Anolis sagrei: one gene and its partner. The protein of the gene in region 2 interacts with the protein of the main gene of each other region in a biochemical or structural test. Links are inferred from orthologs where the notes say so. Each region holds a gene or a part of one and is shown on either strand. Other genes may lie near its edges.

What was found.
Region 1: the proteins of TLN1 (region 2) and ITGB3 form a complex in vitro, tested with the Homo sapiens proteins (6 studies listed by BioGRID and IntAct, with this or other methods). The link is inferred for Anolis sagrei from reciprocal best matches to the Homo sapiens genes TLN1 and ITGB3.

The regions. Positions count from the first base shown.
Region 1 is NC_090026.1:45,733,702-45,744,456, forward strand, and holds the start of ITGB3 (integrin beta-3), read right to left. Parts: upstream 4,823-10,755; 5' UTR 4,613-4,822; coding exon 4,540-4,612; intron 1-4,539. UniProt on the Homo sapiens protein: Integrin alpha-V/beta-3 (ITGAV:ITGB3) is a receptor for cytotactin, fibronectin, laminin, matrix metalloproteinase-2, osteopontin, osteomodulin, prothrombin, thrombospondin, vitronectin and von Willebrand factor.
Region 2 is NC_090022.1:302,402,869-302,413,775, reverse strand, and holds the start of TLN1 (talin-1), read right to left. Parts: upstream 4,318-10,907; 5' UTR 4,230-4,317; intron 1-4,229. Other genes in the region: CREB3 (cyclic AMP-responsive element-binding protein 3), read left to right, coding at 10,572-10,709, 10,894-10,907. UniProt on the Homo sapiens protein: High molecular weight cytoskeletal protein concentrated at regions of cell-matrix and cell-cell contacts. Involved in connections of major cytoskeletal structures to the plasma membrane.

The DNA of each region.
Region 1 (10,755 bases), on a different chromosome or scaffold from region 2:
CCTATTGCCGCTTTATTGCCCTGTCCCGAAAGCTTGGTCCCACAGCCAAGTTTTTACCATCCGTCTAAAGGACAGAAGGGAGGGGGCCGACCTGATCTCACCAGGAAGGGAGTCCCATAGCCGGGGAGCAATCACTGAGAAGGCCCTGTCTCTCGTCCTCACCAATCGTGCCTGGGACAATGGTGAGACGGAAAGCAGGACCTCCCCGGAGGATCTTAATCTCTGCGATGGTTCATAGCGGGAAGATGCGTTTAGACAGGTAATTTGGGCCGGGGCAGTTTAGGGCTTTATAGGCCAAAGCTAGCACTTTGAGTTGTGCCCAGTAGCAACCTGGCAGCCAATGGAGCTGGCGTAACATGGGAGTTGTATGTTCCCTGTATGCCGCCCCAGTTATTAACCTGGCTGCCTCTTGTTGGACTATTTGAAGCTTCTGAGCAGTCTTCAAAGACAACCCCATGTAGAGTGCGTTGCAGTAGTCTATCCTAGATGTAACGAGAGCATGGACCACCGTGGCCAAGTCTAACTTCCCAAGGTACGGGCGCAGCTGGTGAACAAGTTTAATTGTGTGAACACTCCCCTGGACACCGCTGCAACCTGGGATTCCAAGCTCAGTGATGAATCCAGGAGGACCCTCAATTTACGAACTTGTGTCTTCAAGAGGAGTGTGACCCCATCCAGCACAGGTTGTGACCCTATACCCTGTTCAGCCTTGTGACTGACCAGGAGGACTTCTGTCTTGTCTGGATTCAACTTCAATTTGCTTGCCCTCATCCAGACCATCACAGCGGCCAGGCATGGTTCAGGTCTTGGACAGCCTCCTTAGCATCTGGTGAAAATGAGTGATAGAGTTGGACGTCATCTGCGTACAGATGACATTGAACTCCAAAACTCCGGATGATCTCACCCAGCAGCTGTTACACATACACCTTATACAATATTTTAAATAATTTTGTGTATCAAAGGACTGATGTAAACTGAACCCTCAGAAAGCAAAGGTGCCACTTTCTCAGCCGCCCATGTCAGCACTTTTCAATTTGGGAGTGTATCATATTTCAGCATTCCAGATAAAGCATGCTCAACCAGAACATAGCTCTAGAAACGCATTACCTATGCTCCAAAGAAACAGACCTTTTAAACTGCACTTTGTAAACAAACCCTTCCTGTACAGAGATTGTATTTTTAAAAACTGGCTTTGTTCCAAGAGATAAGAAACAAATCCCTGGGTAAATAATACACAACAGTGCTGCAATTCTGCACAATTTACTTGGGACTCCTGTTTGAATTGGGATTTTTGACACACTTCCTTTCACTCATTCTCTGCCAAAGAATTCCACCCACTTTCCTCCAATTTCTAGCTGATATTTGTTTATTTGATACTGTTGCATTATCCGGGTGGAGGCCACAAGGGGGTGCTAGACAGAGAAATATAGTCAATTTTTTAGGAGGAGAACCTGTTTCCCCGTTTTCGCTGATTATTCTCCCACCAACTTCTCATTTCATAAATGAGGGATTTTCCATGACAGCGAAATGGGTGGGGGCAATATCAGGAAAACAGGAAAATAGTTTCACTTCTTCAACCCCCTCTCCCCCATAAAATGGACCATCTTTCTCTCTTTAGCGCCCCCTTTGGCCTCTGTCTGAATAATGAAATACAAATATTCTAAATACAAAATATTGGTAATATTGTCGAAGGCTTTCATGGCTGGAATCACTAGGTTCTTGTGGGTTTTTTCGGGCTATAGGGCCATGTTCTAGAGGCATTTCTCCTGACGTTTCGCCTGCATCTATGGCAAGCATCCTCAGAGGTGGTGACCTCACCACCTCTGAGGATGCTTGCCATAGATGCAGGCGAAACATCAGGAGAAATGCCTCTAGAACATGGCCCTATAGCCCGAAAAAACCCACAAGAACCTATTGGTAATATTTTCAATGAAAAGAAATATTTTTAAATGTTGTTATATATATATATATAATGTAATGCAATATGACACTACTAATAATATAATTATTAGGAGCCCCTAGTGGATTAAACAGCTGAGTGGCTGAGTTTGTTGACCAAAAGGTCGCAGGTTCGAATCCGGGGAGTGGCGTGAGCTCCCACTGTCAGCCCCAGCTTCTGCCAACCTAGCAGTTCGAAAACATGCAAATGTGAGTAGATCAATAGGCACCGCGCCGGTGGGAAGGTAACAGCGCTCCATGCAGTCATGCCACCCACATGACCTTGGAGGTGTCTATGGACAATGCTGGCTCTTCGGCTTAGAAATGGAGATGAACACCACACCCTAGAGTCGGACACAACTGGACGTAATATCAGGGGAAAACCTTTACCTTTGCCTAATAATATGATATTACAATTATATATTTATATTGCGTGTAATATTACTAATAATATTACAATATAATGGTATAGTACAATATAGTAATATTTAATACTGATATTGCACTATGCTAATAATATAATATATTGTATGTATATGTATCTTGTAAGAGCCCCTGGTGGTGCAAAGGGTTAAAGTGCTGAGCTGCTGAGCTTGTTGACCGAAAGGTCGCAGGTTCGATTCCGGGGAGCGGCATGAGCTCCTGCTGTCAGCCCCAACCTCTGCCAACCTAGCAGTTCGAAAACATGCAAATGTGAGTAGATCAATAGGTATCGCGCCGGTGGAAAGGTAACGGCGCTCCATGCAGTAATGCCACCCACATGACCTTGGAGGTGTCTATGGACAATGCTGGCTCTTCGGTTTAGAAATGGAGATGAGCACCACACCCTAGAGTCGGACACGAATGGACTTAGTGTCAAGGGAAAACCTTTACCTTTACCTAATAATATGATATTATAATTATATATTTATATTACTAATAATATTACAATATAATGGTATAGTACAATATAATATTTAATACTGATATTGCACTATGCTAATAATATAATATATTGTATGTATATGTATCTTGTAAGAGCCCCTGGTGGTGCAAAGGGTTAAAGTGCTGAGCTGCTGAGCTTGTTGACCGAAAGGTTGCAGGTTCGATTCCGGGGAGCGGCGTAAGCTCCCGCTGTCTGCCCCAACTTCTGCCAACCTAGCAGTTCGAAAACATGCAAATGTGAGTAGATCAATAGGCACCGCGCCGGTGGGAAGGTAACGGCGCTCCATGCAGTCATGCCACCCACATGACCTTGGAGGTGTCTATGGACAATGCCGGCTCTTCGGCTTAGAAATGGAGATGAGCACCACACCCTAGAGTCGGACACAACTGGACGTAATATCAGGGGAAAACCTTTGCCTTTGCCTAATAATATGATATTACAATTATATATTTATATTGCATGTAATATTACTAATAATATTACAATATAATGGTATAGTAGAATATAGGTAAAGGTTTTCCCCGACATTAAGTCCAGTTGTGTTCGACTCAGGGGTGTAGTGCTCATCTCTATTTCTAAGCCAAAGAGCCAGCGTTGTCCGTAGACACCTCCAAGGTCATGTGGCCAGTATGACTGCATGGAACGCCGTTATTAATACTAATATTGCACTATGCTAATAATATAATATATTGCATATATATATATATATATATATATATAGACTAGCCGTCCCCTGCCATGCGTTGCTGTGGCCCACATGGGGGTTCTGTGTGGGAAGTTTGGCCCAATTCTATCGTTGGTGGGGTTCAGAATGCTCTGTGATTGTAGGTGAACTATAAATCCCAGTAACTACAAGTCCCAAATGTCAAGGTCTATTTTCCCCAAACTCCATCTGTGCTCATATTTGGGCATATGGAATATTCGTGCCAAGTTTGGTCGAGATCCATCATGGTTTGAGCCCACAGGGCTCTCTGCATGTAGGTGAACTACATCTCCCAAACTCAATGTCAATGCCCACCAAACCCTTCTAGTGTTTTATGTTGGTCATGGGTGTTCTGTGTGCCAAGTTTGGTTCAATTCTATTGTTGGTGGGGTTCAGATTGCTCTTTGATTGTTGGTGAACTATAAATCCCAGCAACTACAATTCCCAAATGACAAAATCAGGTTTTTTTGAGTGAAGGACATACATTGGGTTGTTAGGTATCTTGTGTCCAAATTTGGTGTCAATTCGTCCAGTGGTTTTTGAGTTCTGTTAATCCCACAAACGAACATTACATTTTTATTTATTTATTTAGATAGATAGATAGAGATAGAGATATAGATATTGATATATCTTGTAAGCCGCTCTGAGTCCCCTTTGGGGTGAGAAGGGCGGCATATAAATGTTGTAAATAATTAAATAAGGTCTGTGGCACATCTCTGTCAACGGTGGCTGGTGCCTCGCCAAAACTACAAATCCCAGCAATTTGGGATCTGTCGTTTGGTGGGGCACCAACTTTCTTTGACAGTTAAAAGTGTTGTCAAACTGCATGAAACTCCAGTTAAAGTGATACCAAATTGCATTCATTCTACACTCTTGATGAGAGTCACCCCAAACTTCTCCCCTATCCCAACTTTCCCAGCCATACACAGAAATGAGAAATGCAATAATCAGCCTTGTCTCAAGTGCAACTTACCCCAGACTTTGGAGGTGAAGAAGAGCATGCTACACATTCCAAGGAGAGTGGAAGAGGAGGAGAATGTGCCCATGCTTTGCCTGTTCAGAGGAGCTGCTGGGGTAGAGTTGGAAGAAACTTTTCTGGGCGCCTCTGTCCCTGAGAGATGCTTGAAAGAGAGCAGGGAAACAGCTGTGTGCCCGCCCCACTCTCCCTCCCTCTCTGCCTGGCTCAGGTCACCAAGGCTTAGCAGGATCCGCCTCTTTCCTTTAGGAACTGCTTTGTTGGGGAGGAGAGATGGAGTGACCGACTCCTTCTGACCTTTATGACACTTTCCAGACCTCTCCCTCCTCTTCCCATTTTCCCACAGCCCCCGCCTCTCGCCAGGGTTTGAGATGCAGTTTGAGATATTATCATTTTCTTTCCAAAGTTCATGGAAACAAACAGAAAAGGAGAGGCGGCTTCTCTTCCGCCTTCTCTGCTGAACAAGGAGGTGCTGTGTTTGGCTGAAGTGAGTCTCCCTTGTTCAAACTCAGGCTGGCTCCACACTGCCACATAATCTTGATTATCAATGCAGCAAGATGGGATTTGTGGTTTGGCGAGGCACCCACTTTCTCTGCTAGAGGCCCCTTCTACACTGCCATATAATCTAGATCAGTGTTTCTCAATCTTGCTAATGCTGTGACCCCTTAATACCGTTCCTCATGTTGTGGTGACCCCCAACCATAAAATTATTTTCGTTACTACTTTAATAACTGTAATACTGTTATGAATCGTAATGTAAGTATCTGATATGCAGGATGTATTTTCATTCTCTGGACTAAATTTGGCACAAATACCCAATATGCCCAAATTTGAATAATGGTAGGGTGGGGTGGGGGGTTGATTTTGTCATTTGGAAGTTGTAGTTGCTGGGATTTATGGTTCACCGGCAGTCAAAGTGCATTATGAACTCCACCAACAATGGAATTGAACCAATCTTGGTACACAGAACTCCCAAATACCAACAGAAAATAGTGGAAGGGTTTGGTGTGCATTGACCTTGAGTTTTGGAGTTGTAGTTCAGTTACATCCAGAGAGCACTGTGGACTCAAACAATTATGGATCTGGACCAAACTTGGCATGAAAACTCAATTAGCCCATATGTGAACACTGGTGGAGTTTGGGGAAAATAAACCTTGACATTTGGGAGTTGTAGTTGCTGGGATTTATAGTTCACCTACAATCAAAGAGCATTCTGAACTCCCCCAACGATAGAATTGGGCCAAACTTCCCACATGTAACCCTCATGAGCAACAGAAAATACTGTGTTTCCTCATGATCTTTGGTGACCCCTCTGATACCCCCTCGCGACCCCTCCAAGGGTCCCGACCCCCAGGTTGAGAAACACTGATCTAGATTATCGGATGAGATTATCCACATTATTTGCTTTGAGCTGGATTATATGAGTCTACACTGCCATATAACCCAGAATATAATTTGGTGAGGCACCAGCACTTTTGGCAGAGAGGGCTGAACACTCTGTAAAACTACAGCTTCCATAATTCCACAGCATTGAGCCATGGTGGTTAAAGTGATGTCAAACTGCATTACACATGGAGTGGCTTTCCCTCCCAACTCCTCTAATAATAATAATAATAATAATAATAATAATAATAATAATAATAATCTCTATATATAAAATGCTCAGTGCATAATGAGTACCTTAAAAACAAAAGAACTAATGAACGAAATCACACCAAATTTGGCAACAAAACGTCTCACTACACAAGGAATGACCATCACTCAAAAATTATGATTTTGTCATTTGGGAGTTGTAGTTGTTGGGATTTATAGTTCATCTATAATCAAAGAGCATTCTGAACACCACCAACGATGGAATTCAACCAAACTTGGCACACAGAACTCCCATGACCACCAGAAAATACTGAAAGGGTTTGGTGGGCACTGACCTTGAATTTTGGAATTGTAGTTCACCTACATCTAGAGAGCACTGTGGACTCAAAGAATGTTGGATCTGGACCAAACTTGGCACAAATACTCAATATGCCCAAATATAAATACAGATGGAGTTTGGGGAAAAAAGACCTTGACATTTGGGAGTTGTAGTTACTGGGATTTATAGTTCACCTACAATCAAAGAGCGTTCTGAACCACACTAATGACAGAATTGGGACAAACCTCCCACACGGAACCCCCATGACCAACAGAAAATACTTAAGGCCATTCAGTCCAACTCCCTTTACCAGGGCAAGAAAATGTAATCAAAGCCCTCCTGACAAAGAACCACCCAGCCATAGATATAGAGAGAGATATATGACTCACACACACACACACACACACAGATATAGTATCATAGATTTGAAAGGGACCACTAAACAAGGACAATTCTATTTTGCATGCTCCAGAGTAGGCCAACTAGACAATCTCTATATCAACACAAGCATAAAGAAATTACATATATTAGAAACCAACACTTTCTCATTACTTCATTTTCCAGATCACCAGACTGGGCCACAGCAACGCGTGGCAGGGGATAGCTAGTAATAATAATAATAATGCTGTCACTCACTGGGCCTGTAATAATTGTCTTTTGAACAGGACGTGCACTTTGTGCCCAGCGGAAAGCCAGGGCGCCTTGATAGAGAGGCCCTAAGGATTTTCCTCTGGAAGAGTCTTTAGAGGCTTGAAAGGTTTAACAAAGTCCTTTATTGTTGAACAAATTAAACAAATACTTCTTCAGTCTTCAACGACAATCATACAAATGACTGGTAGCTTTCTTAATCTTGTCCACAAGTAACAGGCAAATGGCTTTGACAACTGTTTCTTTTCTTTTGAAAGGAAAACCCTTTTTTAACTTCTCCCAGGCAATCTACTATAATAATTACTGTTTCCGTGTATATTGTAATCTGCTCTGAGTCCCCTCGGGGATACAGAGCGGAATATAAATAAAGTATATTATTATTGTTGTTGTTATTATTATGGTTCCAAGAACATACACAGATTATGCTAAGGAGGTAATAAGCCACCCAGCTTTGATGGATCAGCCCCAAATTATCCATAGTTTGCAAACGAGTCCAACTGTAAAGTTTTTATCAAAGAAACATAACTGATTGAAGAAGGTTTGGTGCCTGCAGTTTAAGTAATTGAACAAAGATCACCCAAAACACCAGACATTAAGGAACTGAATTCGTTGATAATTGGGAAGAAGGGAATATGCTGCTTATGTAATTAGTTGCATCTTTTAATATGTTATGTACACCTGAAAGTTTTGTTTTCAGCTTCTCCTTTACTGCCCCCTTGTGTTCAGATCCAAGCCATACAGAGAACATAGGTGGGATATACAATGCCCAAGGCCTAAATGCTGAAGGCATCGGATGCTCTGACTTTGAAGCTAGGCAGACTCAGATTTGGTTGGCACTTGGAAGGGAGACCACCAAGGAAAATCAGGGGCTGTAGGTGCGACCAGCTCTGAATATTCTTTGCCTAAGAAAATCCAAGGAAATGAATGATTTGCCACGTGTTGATAACTGACTTGAAAGCTCCTTCTACATTGCCATATAGGTACTAATTCAGCTACAACTTACAATGTTGCAAAGTTTTGTGAAGCAGCATACAAAATCTGTCAGGGAATTATTATTATTATTATTATTATTATTATTATTTACTGTATTTGTATACCGCACTTCTCAGCCCTCAGGCGACTCAGGGCAGTTTACAATGGCAACAATATGATGCCCCAAAACACCATAAAACATTTTAAAACATTAACACATAATATAAAACCATAACAAGAATACTAAAAACAAAGATCATTTGCATCTCCTAATAAAAACATTGTCCCATCTCGTCGTCCAGTCGTTCCAATTCCTATGTCTTTTTCCTTGCATTTTCAAACACTTACTCCAACAACCAAGTCTTGACTCTCTTCCGAAATGTTAAGAGGGAGGGGGCCGATCGAATGTCCCCAGGAAGAGCGTTCCATAGTCGAGGGGCCACCACTGAAAAGGCCCTGTCTCTCATTCCCACTAAACGTGTTTGTGACGCAAGCAGGATCGGGAGCAGGGCCTCCTCGGACGATCTTAAATTCCTAGCAGGTTCATAAAGGATGATGCGTTCCGCCTGGTAAGTTGGGCCAGAACCGTTTAGGACTTTATAGACCCGGTAGCAAACTGGCTGCTAGTGGAGCTGGTGCAACAGAGGAGTTGTATGCTCCCTGAGTGTTGCTCCTTTTAGTAATCTGGCTGCCATCCGTTGGACCATTTGAAGCTTCTGGACAGTCTTCAAAGGCAACCCTGCGTAGAGCGCGTTGCAGTACGTTATACGGGATGTAACCAGAGCGTGGACTACCGTGGCCAAGTCAGACTTCCCAAGGTCCGGGCACAGCTGACACACAAGTTTTAACTGTGCAAATGCTCCCCTGGTCACTGCCAAAACCTGGGGGTTCCAGGCTCACCAATGAGTCCAGGATCACACCTAAGCTGCGAACCTGCATCTTCAGGGGGAGTGTAACCCCATCCAACTCAGGCTGCAACCCTATACCCTGTTCAGCCTTACGACTGACCAGGAGTGCCCCTGTCTTGTCTGGATTCAATTTCAATTTGTTCGCCCTCATCCAGATCGTCAAAGCGGCCAAGCACCAGTTCAGTACCTGAACAGCCTCCTTAGTAGCAAGTGGGAAGGATTGACAGAGTTGGACGTCATCTGTGTACAGGTGACTGGTCCCAAGAGTTAACTGTGTATCCAGTAATCATCTTCCTTGATTCTATAATTGCTGATAGACCTGTGCATTGTATGTTTTCACCCTGTTTCCCCTTCTGCTCCCTCACCCCTATTGTGCTTCAGTATTTGTATTTACATTTACGTGCAGAATATTTTATCCTTATTCCTCTCTATCTTGAAATCTGTTAGGTTTGGGAATGACCCTGGACTCATCGCTGAGCCTGGAAGCCCAGGTCTCGGTGGTGGCCCGGAGAGTTTTTGCACTATTAAAACTTGTGCGCCAGCTGCACCCGCTCCTTGGGAAGTCTGATTTGGCCACAGTGGTCCACGCTCTTGTTACATCCCGAATAGACTACTGCAATGCTCTCTATGTGGGGCTGCCTTTGAAGACCTCTCGGAAGCTCCAATTAGTCCAATGGTTGGCAGCCAGGTTACTCACTGGAACGGCATACAGGGAGTGTACAACTCCTCTGTTACGTCAGCTCCACTGGCTGCTGATCAGCTTCCGAGCACAATTCAAAGTACTGGTTTTAACCTTTAAAGCCCTAAACATTCTGGCCCAGATTACCTGTCTGAATGTATCTCCTATTATGAACAATCATGAAGCTTATGATTGTCAGGAGAGGTCTTGCTCATCGTACCACTTTTGCAAACGCGGTTGGTGGGGACAAGAGACAGGGCCTTCTCGGCAGTGGCCCCGTCTGTGGAACTCTCTCCCTAAGGACATCAAGTTGGCCACCTCCCTTCTGTCCTTTAGAAGACAATTGAAGACTTGGCTTTGGGACCAGACGTTCGATTAGTGGACAGCGGCAATTGGAAAGAAACTTAGGATATCTCTAACATTGGATTTAAACTGACTTCGATTTGGTTTTAATTAGCATGTTTAACTTATTGTTTAATGAATTGTATAATGTGTTTTTATTGATTTTTAATGTTTTAAATGTAATTTTTGATTGTTTATATGTTGATAGCATCATATGATGCTAGTGTAAGACCGCTCTGAGACCCTTCGGGGGAGAAGGGCGGGGTAGAAATGCATGAAATAAATAAATAGTATTCAGGCCTGAAATCATATTTCAATTTTAATATTTTTGAGAGTCTTCGTGTATTTTTTTCCAGTAGTTTTTAACTTCTTTGCAGGACCCCCAAGAATGGAAGATGGTTCCCACTTCTTCCCCACATTTCCAACATTTGTTGTTTTGATTCTTATAGCACCTTGCCAGATGCTGGGGTGTGAGATGCCATCTATAAAACATCTTATACCAATTTTAGGGGGGAAAGTAATAGAAAATGTAATAGTAATGTGACTTTTATTTCCTGTGCTGGTCTATGACCGAAATAAATGCTTTGAGTGAGTGCACGGCCATATAATCCAGATTATCTGATTTGAACTGCATTATATAAGTCTACACTGTCATATAACCCAATTTAAAGCAAATAATCTGGATTTTATATGACTGTGTAGAAGGGGGCATAGATACCAACTAATGCTATTACTATTTGCTTGTTATTCTG
Region 2 (10,907 bases):
AGTATAATAATAGAATCATAATCCTAGTATTGGAAAGGATCCCCAAAGGTCATCCAGTCCAAACTCCTGCCATGCAAGAAAAGCACAATCCGATACCTTCCAACAGATGACCATCCAGCCTCTGCTTAAGAATAATATAATTATAAATCTAGTGTTGGAAAGGATCCCCAAAGGTCATCCAGTCCAAACCCCTGCCATGCAGAGAAAGCACAATCCGATACCTCCCGACAGATGACCATGCAGCCTCTGATTAAACGCTTGCAGAGAAAGAAACTTTGCATCACATTTTAAAGCAGCACCAGCAGCAGATTCCAAACAGCTGTGATGGTCAGGAAGTACTTCCTAAACGTTTGAGGTGGGATCTCTTTTCCTGCTCTTTGAATCCACAGCTCCATTGTGTCTCCGGAGCAACAAGCGTGGCCTCCTCCTTAATATGTTATTTGTTCCAATATCTAAACAAGGCTGTCATGTCCCTTTCTCTCAGCCTCACATCACTGAGATGAACATGTCCATCTCTTTACGAAGGATTTTGCAGCTTCCATGCTTCTGGACATTAGGGCGGCCCTTCTCTGGACAGCCTCCTCCTTGTCCATCATCATCATCATCATCATCATCATTATTATGTACATTACAATGGATGAAACGAGACACATCACAGAGTTATAATGCATATCATAACGGATGAAGTTCAGAAGTCACAAAACTGGGAATGATGCAAGTCTAATAGACCTGAGAATAGTCATCGTGGCATTGGAAATGCCCTGCAATAAGTCCATAAAAGTCTGTTTTAAAAGACTTGTTGTCTTCTTGGATCAAGGGAAAACCAACTAGCAGCAGCAACATTATTATTTTTTTGTCGTGTCAGGAGTGACCTGAGAAACTTCAAGTCGCTTCTGGTGTGAGAGAATTGGCCGTCTGCAAGGACGTTGCCCAGGGGACTCCCAGATGATTTGATGTTTTTATCATCCTTTATCATCAGCAACATTTTGAAAGAATGGGAGTGCTTTGTATTATTATTATTATTATTATTATTATTATTATTAATACCTCACTTTATCTCCCCAAAGGGATTCAAAGCAGCTTGACATGAAAGCATTAGTAAATAATTTAAAATATAATCTTTTTTTTAATCGTGTTGGGAGCGAATTGAGAGTATACTGTAAGTTGCTTCTGGTGTGAGAGAATTGTCTGTCTGCAAGGACGTTGCCCAGGGGATGTCCAGATATGTTACCATCCCGTGGGGCTGACGGACAAGAGCTCATCCTGTTCCCTGGATTTGAATCGCCAACCTTTCAGCCAGCAGTCCTGTCATCACAAGGGTTTAATGCATCGTGCCACCAAGGGACAATAATAATAATAATAATAATAATAATAATAATAACAATATAAAAACTTTATTTCTATCCCACCCTATCTTCCCAATGGGGAATCAGAGGGGTTCACAACACACAGCAGCAACTATTTATCTGTATTTTAAATTTTATGGTGTATTTTTATGGCATTGAATGGTTGCCTTTTATGTTGTAAGTCACCTCTAGTACCCATGAGGAGATGGGGTGGTGGTATATAAATAAAGTTCAATTGATTGATTGATTGAACCGTTCTGAGTTCCCATTCGGGAGATAAGATGGGATAGAAATAAAATTTTATTATTATTATATTTTAAATTATATACTAATGGTTTCATGTCAAGCTGCTTTGAGTCCCCTTTGGGGAGATAAAGCGGGTTATAAATAATAATAATAATAATAATAATAATAAATGAAAAGTCGACAATGACAGATCCCAAATGTAGACTCTGCAAGGAAGCAGATGAAACAATAGATCCCATCCTCAGATGCTGCAAGAAGATCGCGCAGACAGACTCCAAGCAGAGGCGCAACACCCTTGCTCAGATGATCCATTGGAACTTGTGCCACAAACACCATCTGCCAGCGACAAGAACTGGTGGGATCACAAGCCAGAAAAAGTAACAGAGAATGAACACGTCAAGCTACTCTGGGACTTCCAAATTCAGAGTTTTGGAGCACAAGACTCCTGACCTCATGATCATATTAAAAAATGAAGTATGGATCGTTGATGTTGCAATCCCAGGCGACAGCAAGATTGAAGAGAAGCAACTGGAAAAGCTGTCATGCTACGAGGATTTCAAGATCGAACTGCAAAGACTCTGGCACAAACCAGTCAAGGGGGTCCCAGTGGTGATTGGCACACTGGGTGCAGTGCCTCAAGACCTTGGCCTGCACTTAAACACAATCGGCGCTGAGAAAATCACCACCGGTCAGCTGCAAAAGGCCACCTTACTGGGATCTGCATGCATTATTTGCCAAGACATCACACAGTCCTAGACCCTTGGGAAGTGTCCGATGTGTGATCCAATACAACAACCAGCAGAGTGATCTTGTCTGCTGTGGACTCATCTTGTTGTGTTTCTAATAATAATAATAATAATAATAATAAATGGAAAAGCTGACACGATATGAGGATTTAAAGATTGAACTTTACATGGAGATTTCATCTGAACATGAGGAAGAACTTCCTGACTGTGAGAGCCGTTCAGCAGTGGAACTCTCTGCCCCGGAGTGTGGTGGAGGCTCCTTCTTTGGAAGCTTTGAAACAGAGGCTGGATGGCCATCTGTCAGGGGTGCTTTGAATGCAATATTCCTGTTTCTTGGCAGAATGGGGTTGGACTGGATGGCCCAGGTCTCTTCCAACTCTTGGATTCTATGAACTGCAAAGACTCTGGCACAAGCCAGTCAAGGGGTTCCCAGTGGTGATTGGCACGCTGGGTGCAGTTCCTCAAGACCTTGGCGTGCACTTAAACACAATTGGTGCTGACAAAATTATCACCTGCCAGATGCAAAAGGCCACCTTATTGGGATATGCACACATTATTCGCCGATACATCACACAGTCCTAGACACCTGGGAAGTGTCCGACGTGTGATCCACTACAACAGCCAGCAGAGTGTCTGCTGTGGACTCATCTTGTTGTGTTTCAAATAATAATAATAATAGAAAGTGTCCCAGAACCATGATTTTAATTTTTTTCTAAAGGTCATAAGGCAGCAGATCTTACCTCCTTTGGGAGTTTGTTCCATAATAATATTAATTATTATTATTATTATTATTATTATTATTACTATTATACAAAGTGCCCCCATTCTTTCACGAGTCCCCCTGGGGAGGTAGTGTGGGCTCCAAATAAAGTTTATTACTATTATTATTATTATTATTTGAAACAGAAATTATTATTATTATTATTATTATTATTATAGAAAGTGCCCCCATTCTATTCTTTCATGAGTCCCCCTGGGGAGGTAGGGTGGGCTAGAAAGTTTATTATTATTATTATTTGAAACACAAATTATTATTATTATTATTATTATTATTGTTATTATTATTGTTATTATATGAGTCCCCCTGGGGGGGCTACAAATAAAGTTTTTTAAATTATTATTATTATTATTATTATAAACACAAATTATTATTATTATTATTATTATTATTATTCTAGAAAGTGCCCCCATTCTTTCATGAGTCCCCCTGGGGAGGTAGGGTGGGCTACAAATAAAGATTATTATTATTATTATTATTATTATTATTTGAAACACAAACTATTATTATTATTATTATTTGAAACACAAATTATTATTATTATTATTATTATTATTATACATTCTTTCATAAGTCCACCTGGGGAGGTAGGGTGGGCTAGAAATGAAGATTATTATTATTATTATTATTATTTGAAACAGAAACTATTATTATTATTACTATTATTATTATACATTCTGTCATAAGTCCACCTGGGGAGGTAGGGTGGGCTACAAATAAACTTTATTATTATTATTATTGTTTGAAACACACATTATTATTATTACTATTATTACTGAGTTTATTCCAAAAAGTTTCTGCTAGTTGCTTAAGTGGCTGGGAGGGGGGGGGGGGAGGAAAGGGCTTGAGTCTGTGAGGAATTCTGGGAGTTGTAGTCCCAAACACTTGAAGGGAAGGCCCAAGTGGGCCCAGGCCTGCCTGAAAGCCCCAGCCTGACTTTAGTGACCCCTGAATGGCTCTTTGGACCCCCCAAAGCCCCCCCCCCCTCAGAGAGGGACCCCCGCCCCCTCCTCACCCCAAAGAGAGAGGCACCCCCAACCCCAAAATAGGCCTGAGGACGCCCCCCAAAGCCCCCCTCCCCTCCCCTCCTCCCCTCCCCTCCTCCCTTCCTACCTGGGGACTCTCTCTCTCTCTCTTGAGGCGTCGGCTTTGGCTCTGGCCGAAGGGGCGTGGCCAGCGCAGCCTCTCCCTCAAGCCCCGCCTCCTGGCGCCCCGCCTCCCTCCCTCCCTGCCCCGCGCATGCCCAGAGCCTCCCGCCGCCTCCCTCCCGCCATCTTGGGAGAGGCCCGCCTCCTCGCCGCCATGCTGGGGGGGGCGGCGGGCAGACCACAGCGCCATCTTGTTTGCGGGTGGGGGAAAAGGGGAAGGAAACGGCCGCCCCCTAGAGGGACTTTTGGGGTACTGCAACATGTATTTATTTAGCAACAGCTTTTAAAGGGGAAAAAAAAGAGGAAAAGGAAAAAGGAAAATATTATTATGATTAAATATTGTATTTGTTATATCATATTATTAATTTATTATTTTCTTACATTACATTATTATAATTATTAAATATTTATGTTATCTATATATATATATATATATATATATTAGGGCTGGGCGGTTTCGTTCGTTAATTTCGTAATTCGTTATTAATTCATATTTAAATTAGCTTACGATCCGATATTGAGCCATGCAGGAGTAATTAAAAATCGAAACGATTTTTTCAATTTGTTTCGTAATTGTTTCATAATAGTTTCGAAATTGTTTTGAAATTGTTTCGTAATTATTTTCGCATTTTTCAGCATATTTTTAGCATATTTGGAGGGGTTTTTTTTGCATATTGCGCAATTGCGTCCGCCATTAACTAATCAATCTGAAATTTACGAAATTTCATAAATTTCGAATTTTTTTAAAGAAAAATTTCGGAATTCTTTTAAAAATCGAAACGCAAAAAAACCCTAAAAACGAAACGAGTTTAGAAACAAATTTTTCCGTTGTTACCCAGCCTTAATATATATATATGATCTGGCCACAGTGGTCCACGCTCTTGTTACATCCCCCCCCCCCCCGAATAGACTACTGCAATACACTCTACATGGGGTTGCCATTGAAGACTGTTCGGAAACTTCAACTGGTCCAGCGAGCGGCAGCCAGATTGCTCACCAAAGCGACATACAGGGAGCACACCACCCCCCTGCTGTGTCAGCTCCACTCACAAAATTTTTTCATGCCATCATGTCATCACGGCGCCTCCATGATGACATGATGGCAACAGTTTTGGCACTGCAATGGCTCCCAAAGTGACCCATTTAAGGTGGAATCGGGTGTCAAACAGGGATGATGTGTTATTGCCCCAACTTTATTCTCCATCTTCATTGCTATAATACTTCACCTTGTTGATGGGAAGCTTCCCACCCGAGTGGAAATCATCTCTCAGACAGATGGCAAGCTATTCAACCTCAGCAGACTGAAAGCCAAAACCAAGGTTACAACAACATCTGCTATAGAACTCCAGTATGCTGATGACAACGTCGTCTGTGCGCATTCAGAAGAAGACCTACAAGCCACTCTAAACACCTTCGCAGAAACTTATAAGAAGCTCGGCCTGTCACTGAACATCGAGAAAACCAAAGTGCTCTTCAATCAGTCACCAGCCATCCCCTCCCCAATGCCAGAGATACAGATTAATGGTGTAACATTAGAAAATGTGGACCATTTCCGCTCCCTTGGCAGCCACCTCTCCACCAAAGTCAACATCGACGCCTAAATACAACACCGCCTGAGCTCTGCGAGTGCAGCATTTTCCCGAATTAAGCAGAAAGTGTTTGAGGACCGGGACATCCGTAGGGAGACCAAGGGGCTTGTCTATAAAACTATTGTCCTCCCAACCCTGCTATATGCCTGCGAAAGGTGGACAGTCTACAGATGTCAACATTGACACTAAAATGCAACACCACCTGAGCTCTGCGAGTGCAGCATTTTTCCGAGTGAAGCAGAGAGTGTTTGGGGACTTGGATATACATAGGGATACCAAGGGGCTTGTTTATAAAGCTACTGTGCTCCCAACCCTGCTCTATGCCTGCGAAACGTGGACTGTCTACAGGCGTCACATGCAACTCCTGGAACGATTCCATCAGTGCTGCCTCCGGAAAATCCTGCAAATCTCTTGGGAAGACAGGCAGACAAATGTCGTGCTGGAAGAAGCAAAGACCACCAGCATTGATGCGATGATCCTCCGCCATCAGCTCCGCTGGACTGGCCACGTTGTCTGGATGCCCGACCACCATCTCCCAAAGCAGTTGCTCTATTCCGAACTCAAGAACGGAAAACGGAATGTTGGAGGGCAGGAAAAGAGATTGAAAGATGGGCTCAAAGCCAACCTTAAAAACTCTGGCATAGACACATAGAACTGGGAAGCCCTGGCCTTTGAGAGCTCCAGCTGGAGGTCAGCTGTGACTAGCAGTGCTGCAGAATTTGAAGAGGCACGAATGGAGGGCGGAAGGGAGAAATGTGCCAAGAGGAAGGCACGTCAAGCCAACCCTGACCGGGACCGCCTTCCACCCGGAAACCAATGGCCTCACTGCGGGAGATGATGCAGGTCAAGAATAGGGCTCCACAGCCACCTACAGACTCACAAGAGTTCTGATCCTGGAAGACTATCTTACTCGGCCAACGAGGGATCGCCTAAGTAAGTAAGTAAGTAATACATCTCTAAAGCAGTCCAGGGCTAACATGCACTCGGCCAAAGGTCCTGCCGAGTTTCCTAATCTTTTCTCGGCTATTTCCCAATGCATCCCAATGTCATCCCTTTGCGCTGTTTTGCAGTAATGCAAAGCCATTAAAATAATGATATGACCTCTAGTAGGACTTTTGAAACGGACTGTCTTAAGAGACAGTCCTGGCACCCAGGGTGACAGTAGTGGGCTCTGGAGGATCTTCTGAAGATCTGCTATATCTGTTGTGCATTGGCACATCTTTGTACCTGAGGTCAACGAACCCAGAACTCTGACTTGCAGCAGAGAGTTCCACAGTTCTCTATCGTCTGCTTGGGCCAACTTCTATGGAACGTGGCCACAGCAGCAGCTACAATCAAGAAACCTTCTTTTTGCTTCACTTTCTTCCCCTTCCTAACATTGTATCAAATACCCCAATAAAGTACTTACTTACTTAGGCGATCCCTCGTTGGACGAGTAAGATGGTCTTCCATTCTGGATTTCCTTGTGGGTCCGTATGTGGCTGTGGAGCCCTATTCTTGCTCTGCATCTTCTTCCGTAGTGAAGGCATTGGTTTCCAGGTGGAAGGCGGTCCCGGTCGGGGTTGGCTTGACGCGCCTTTTTCCTCCTGGCACGTTTCTCTCTTTCACCCTCCATTCGTGCCTCCTCAAATTCTGCAGCACTGCTGGTCACAGCTGTCCTCCAGTTGGAGCGCTCAAGGGCCAGGGCTTCCCAGTTCTCAGTGTCTAAGCCAGAGTTTTTGAGGTTGGCTTTGAGCCCATCTTTCAATCTCTTTTCCTGCCCACCAACATTCCGTTTTCCGTTCTTGAGTTCGGAGTAGAGCAACTGCTTTGGGAGACGGTGGTCAGGCATCCGGACAACGTGGCCGGCCCAGCGGAGTTGATGGCAGAAGACCATCGTTTCAGTGCTGGTGGTCTTTGCTTCTTCCAGCACACTGACGTTTGTCCGCTTGTCTTCCCAAGACATTTGCAGGATTTTCCGGAGGCAGCGCTGATGGAATCGTTCCAGGAATTGCATGTGACGTCTGTAGACAGTCCACGTTTCGCAGGCATAGAGCAGGGTTGGGAAGACAATGGCTTTATAGACAAGCACCTTGGTCTCCCTACGGATGTCCCGGTCCTCAAACACTCTCTGCTTCATTCGGGAAAATGCTGCACTCGCAGAGCTCAGGCAGTGTTGTATTTCGGTGTCAATGTTGACTTTGGTGAAGAGGTGGCTGCCAAGGTAGCGGAAATGGTCAACATTTTCTAATGTTACACCATTAAGCTGTATCTCTGGCATTGGAGAGAGGTTGGCTGGCGACTGCTGGAAAAGCACCTTGGTTTTCTCAATGTTCAGTGACAGGCTGAGAAAACCCAATAAAGTATCACTTAATAGTAAATTTTTCTCTTCCTAGTATTACTTTGTGTCTTTTACTGCCTCCAAACTTTTCTTTGCATGATCTTTTGCTCTCCCGGCCTGCCTGGGATACGATTTTAGCGTCCTGGGGAGGGTGGAACTGCGTCTCTCTGAACCGCGGATACAGAATCCCACTGGGCTTTATTATTTATTAATAAATTATTTTTATTATTATTAAATTATTTATTAATTATTTATAAATAAAAAAATTATTTTCGTTAATAATATTATTTTATTTTTATTAAACATTTTATCAAACTTAACAGTTATTTTTAAAAGCTATTTTCATTAAAATTATTGCCTATTATTAAATTATTTTATTAATTATTTATTGATAAAATAATTTTATTTTTATTTTAATTTTTTATTAAAATTATTTTAATTAACGCTATTATTTATTTATCAATAAATAATTTATTGTTATTATTAATTTATTTTATTAATTATTTATTGATAAAATAATTTAATTTTTATTTTAAAATTTTATTAAAATTATTTTAATTAACGCTATTGTTTATTTATCAATAAATAATTTATAATTATTATTAAATTATTTTATTAATTATTTATTGATAAAATAATTTAATTTTTATTTTAAAATTTTATTAAAATTATTTTAATTAACACTATTATTTATTTATTAATATATAATTTATTATTATTACTAAATTATTTTATAAATTATTTATTAATAAAATACTTTAATTTTTATTTTAAAATTTTATTAAAATTATTTTAACACTATTATTTATTTATTAATATATAATTTAATATTATTATTAAATTATTTTATTAATTATTTATTAATAAAATACTTTTATTTTTATTTTATTAAAATTAATTTTATTGAAATTATTTACTTATTAATAATAAGTAATAATTTACTTATTATTGTTATTAATAATAATTATTATTATTACTAAAAACAATTAAAAACACTCAAATGCAGGATTGGGATGATTTCATTGACTCTTCTCTGCAGCATTCGAGATTGAGATTCGCACAATGAATGGCAGCCGCGCGGCCCAATGAGATTCCGGCTTGAGCCGGGCCTGTCCAATCCGCGCGGGGGGAAAGGCGGGGCTAACTCTGTCTCTCTCTGTTTCTCTCTTTGTGGGCGGTGCCACAGGGGGGAATTCCCCAAGGCTCTAAGTGTCAGCCGCGTGGCCCAATAAAACACCGCCTTGAGCAGGGCCGGACCAATCAGCGCGTGAGAAGGGCGGGGCTTTCTCTTCGGTCTCTCTCTCTCTTTGTGGGCAGTGCCACAGGGGAAATGTCCCAAGGCACTGAGCGGCAGCCGCGTAGCCCAATGAGACTCCGGCTTGAACCGGCCCTATCCAATCGGCGCGCTGGGGAGGCGGGACCTTCTCTTTCTGCCTCTCTTTGTGGGCGGTGACACGAAGATAAATTTCCTTAGGCACTGAGCGGCAGCCGAATAGCCCAATGAGACTCCGGCTTGAACTCGGCCTGTCCAATCGACGCGCGGGGAAGGCGGGACCTTCTCTTTCTGTCTCTATTTGTGGGCGGTGCCACAGGGGGGAATTTCCTCAGGCGTTGAGAGGCACCCGCACAGACCAATGAGACTCCGGCTTGAACTGGGCCTGTCCAATCGGCACGCGGTGAAGGCGGGACCTTCTCTTTCAGTCTCTATTTGTGGGCGATACCACGAAGATAAATTTCCTAAGGCACTGAGCGGCAGCCGCACAGCCCAATGAGGTTCCGCCTTGAGCCGCGACTGTCCAATAGCCGCGTGGGACGGGCGGGACCTTCTCTTTCTGTCAATTTGTAAATTTCCTGAGGCGCTGAGCGGCAGCCACGACGCCCAATGAGCTTCCTGATTGAACTCGACGTATCCAATCGGCGCGCGGGGGAGGCGGAACCTTCTCTTTCTGTCTCTATTTGTGGGAGGTACCACCAAGATAAATTTCCTCAAGCTGTGAGCGACAGCCACGTAGCCCAATGAGGTTCCGCTTTAATCCGGGACTGTCCAATCGGCGCGCAGGGGAGGCGGAACCTTCTATTTCTATCTCAATTTGTGGGCGGGAATTTCCTCAAGCTGTGATTGGCAGCCGCGTAACCCAATAAGGTTCCACTTTGAGCCGGGCCTGTCCAATCGGCACGCGGGAGAGGCGGGACCTTCTCTTTCTGTCTCTATTTGTGGGCGGTGTCACAGGGAGGGAATTTCCTCAAACTATGAGCGACAGCCGCGTAACCCAATAAGGTTCCACTTTCAGCCTGGCTTGACCAATAGCCGCGCGGGAGGGGCGGGCCTTTCCTTTTCTGCCTCTGTAGGCGACGTCACCCTTGCCCCGTTGGAAGTGAAGGCGAGGCACCGGCGAGGATGGAGCTGGCGGCGGAGTGGTGGGCCCCGGAGGAGGAGTGGGGGGACCATGAGGAGGAGGACCTTCTGGACTTCCTGCTGGGAGGGGATGCTTCCTGCCCACTTCCTGCAGGCCCCGCCCCCTTATTGACAGCAGAGGTGAGCCCCCCCTCACTGTATAGCTTGGGACTACAACTCCCAGAATTCCTCACAGCCTCAGGCCCCTTCCTTTTGCCCCTCAGCCGCTTAAGCGGCTGAGGGGCAAAAGGAAAGGGCCTGAGGCTGTGAGGAATTCTGGGAGTTGTAGTCCAGACTCAATGGAGGGCCCAATCTATCTCCTCAGGACCCGGAAGGCGA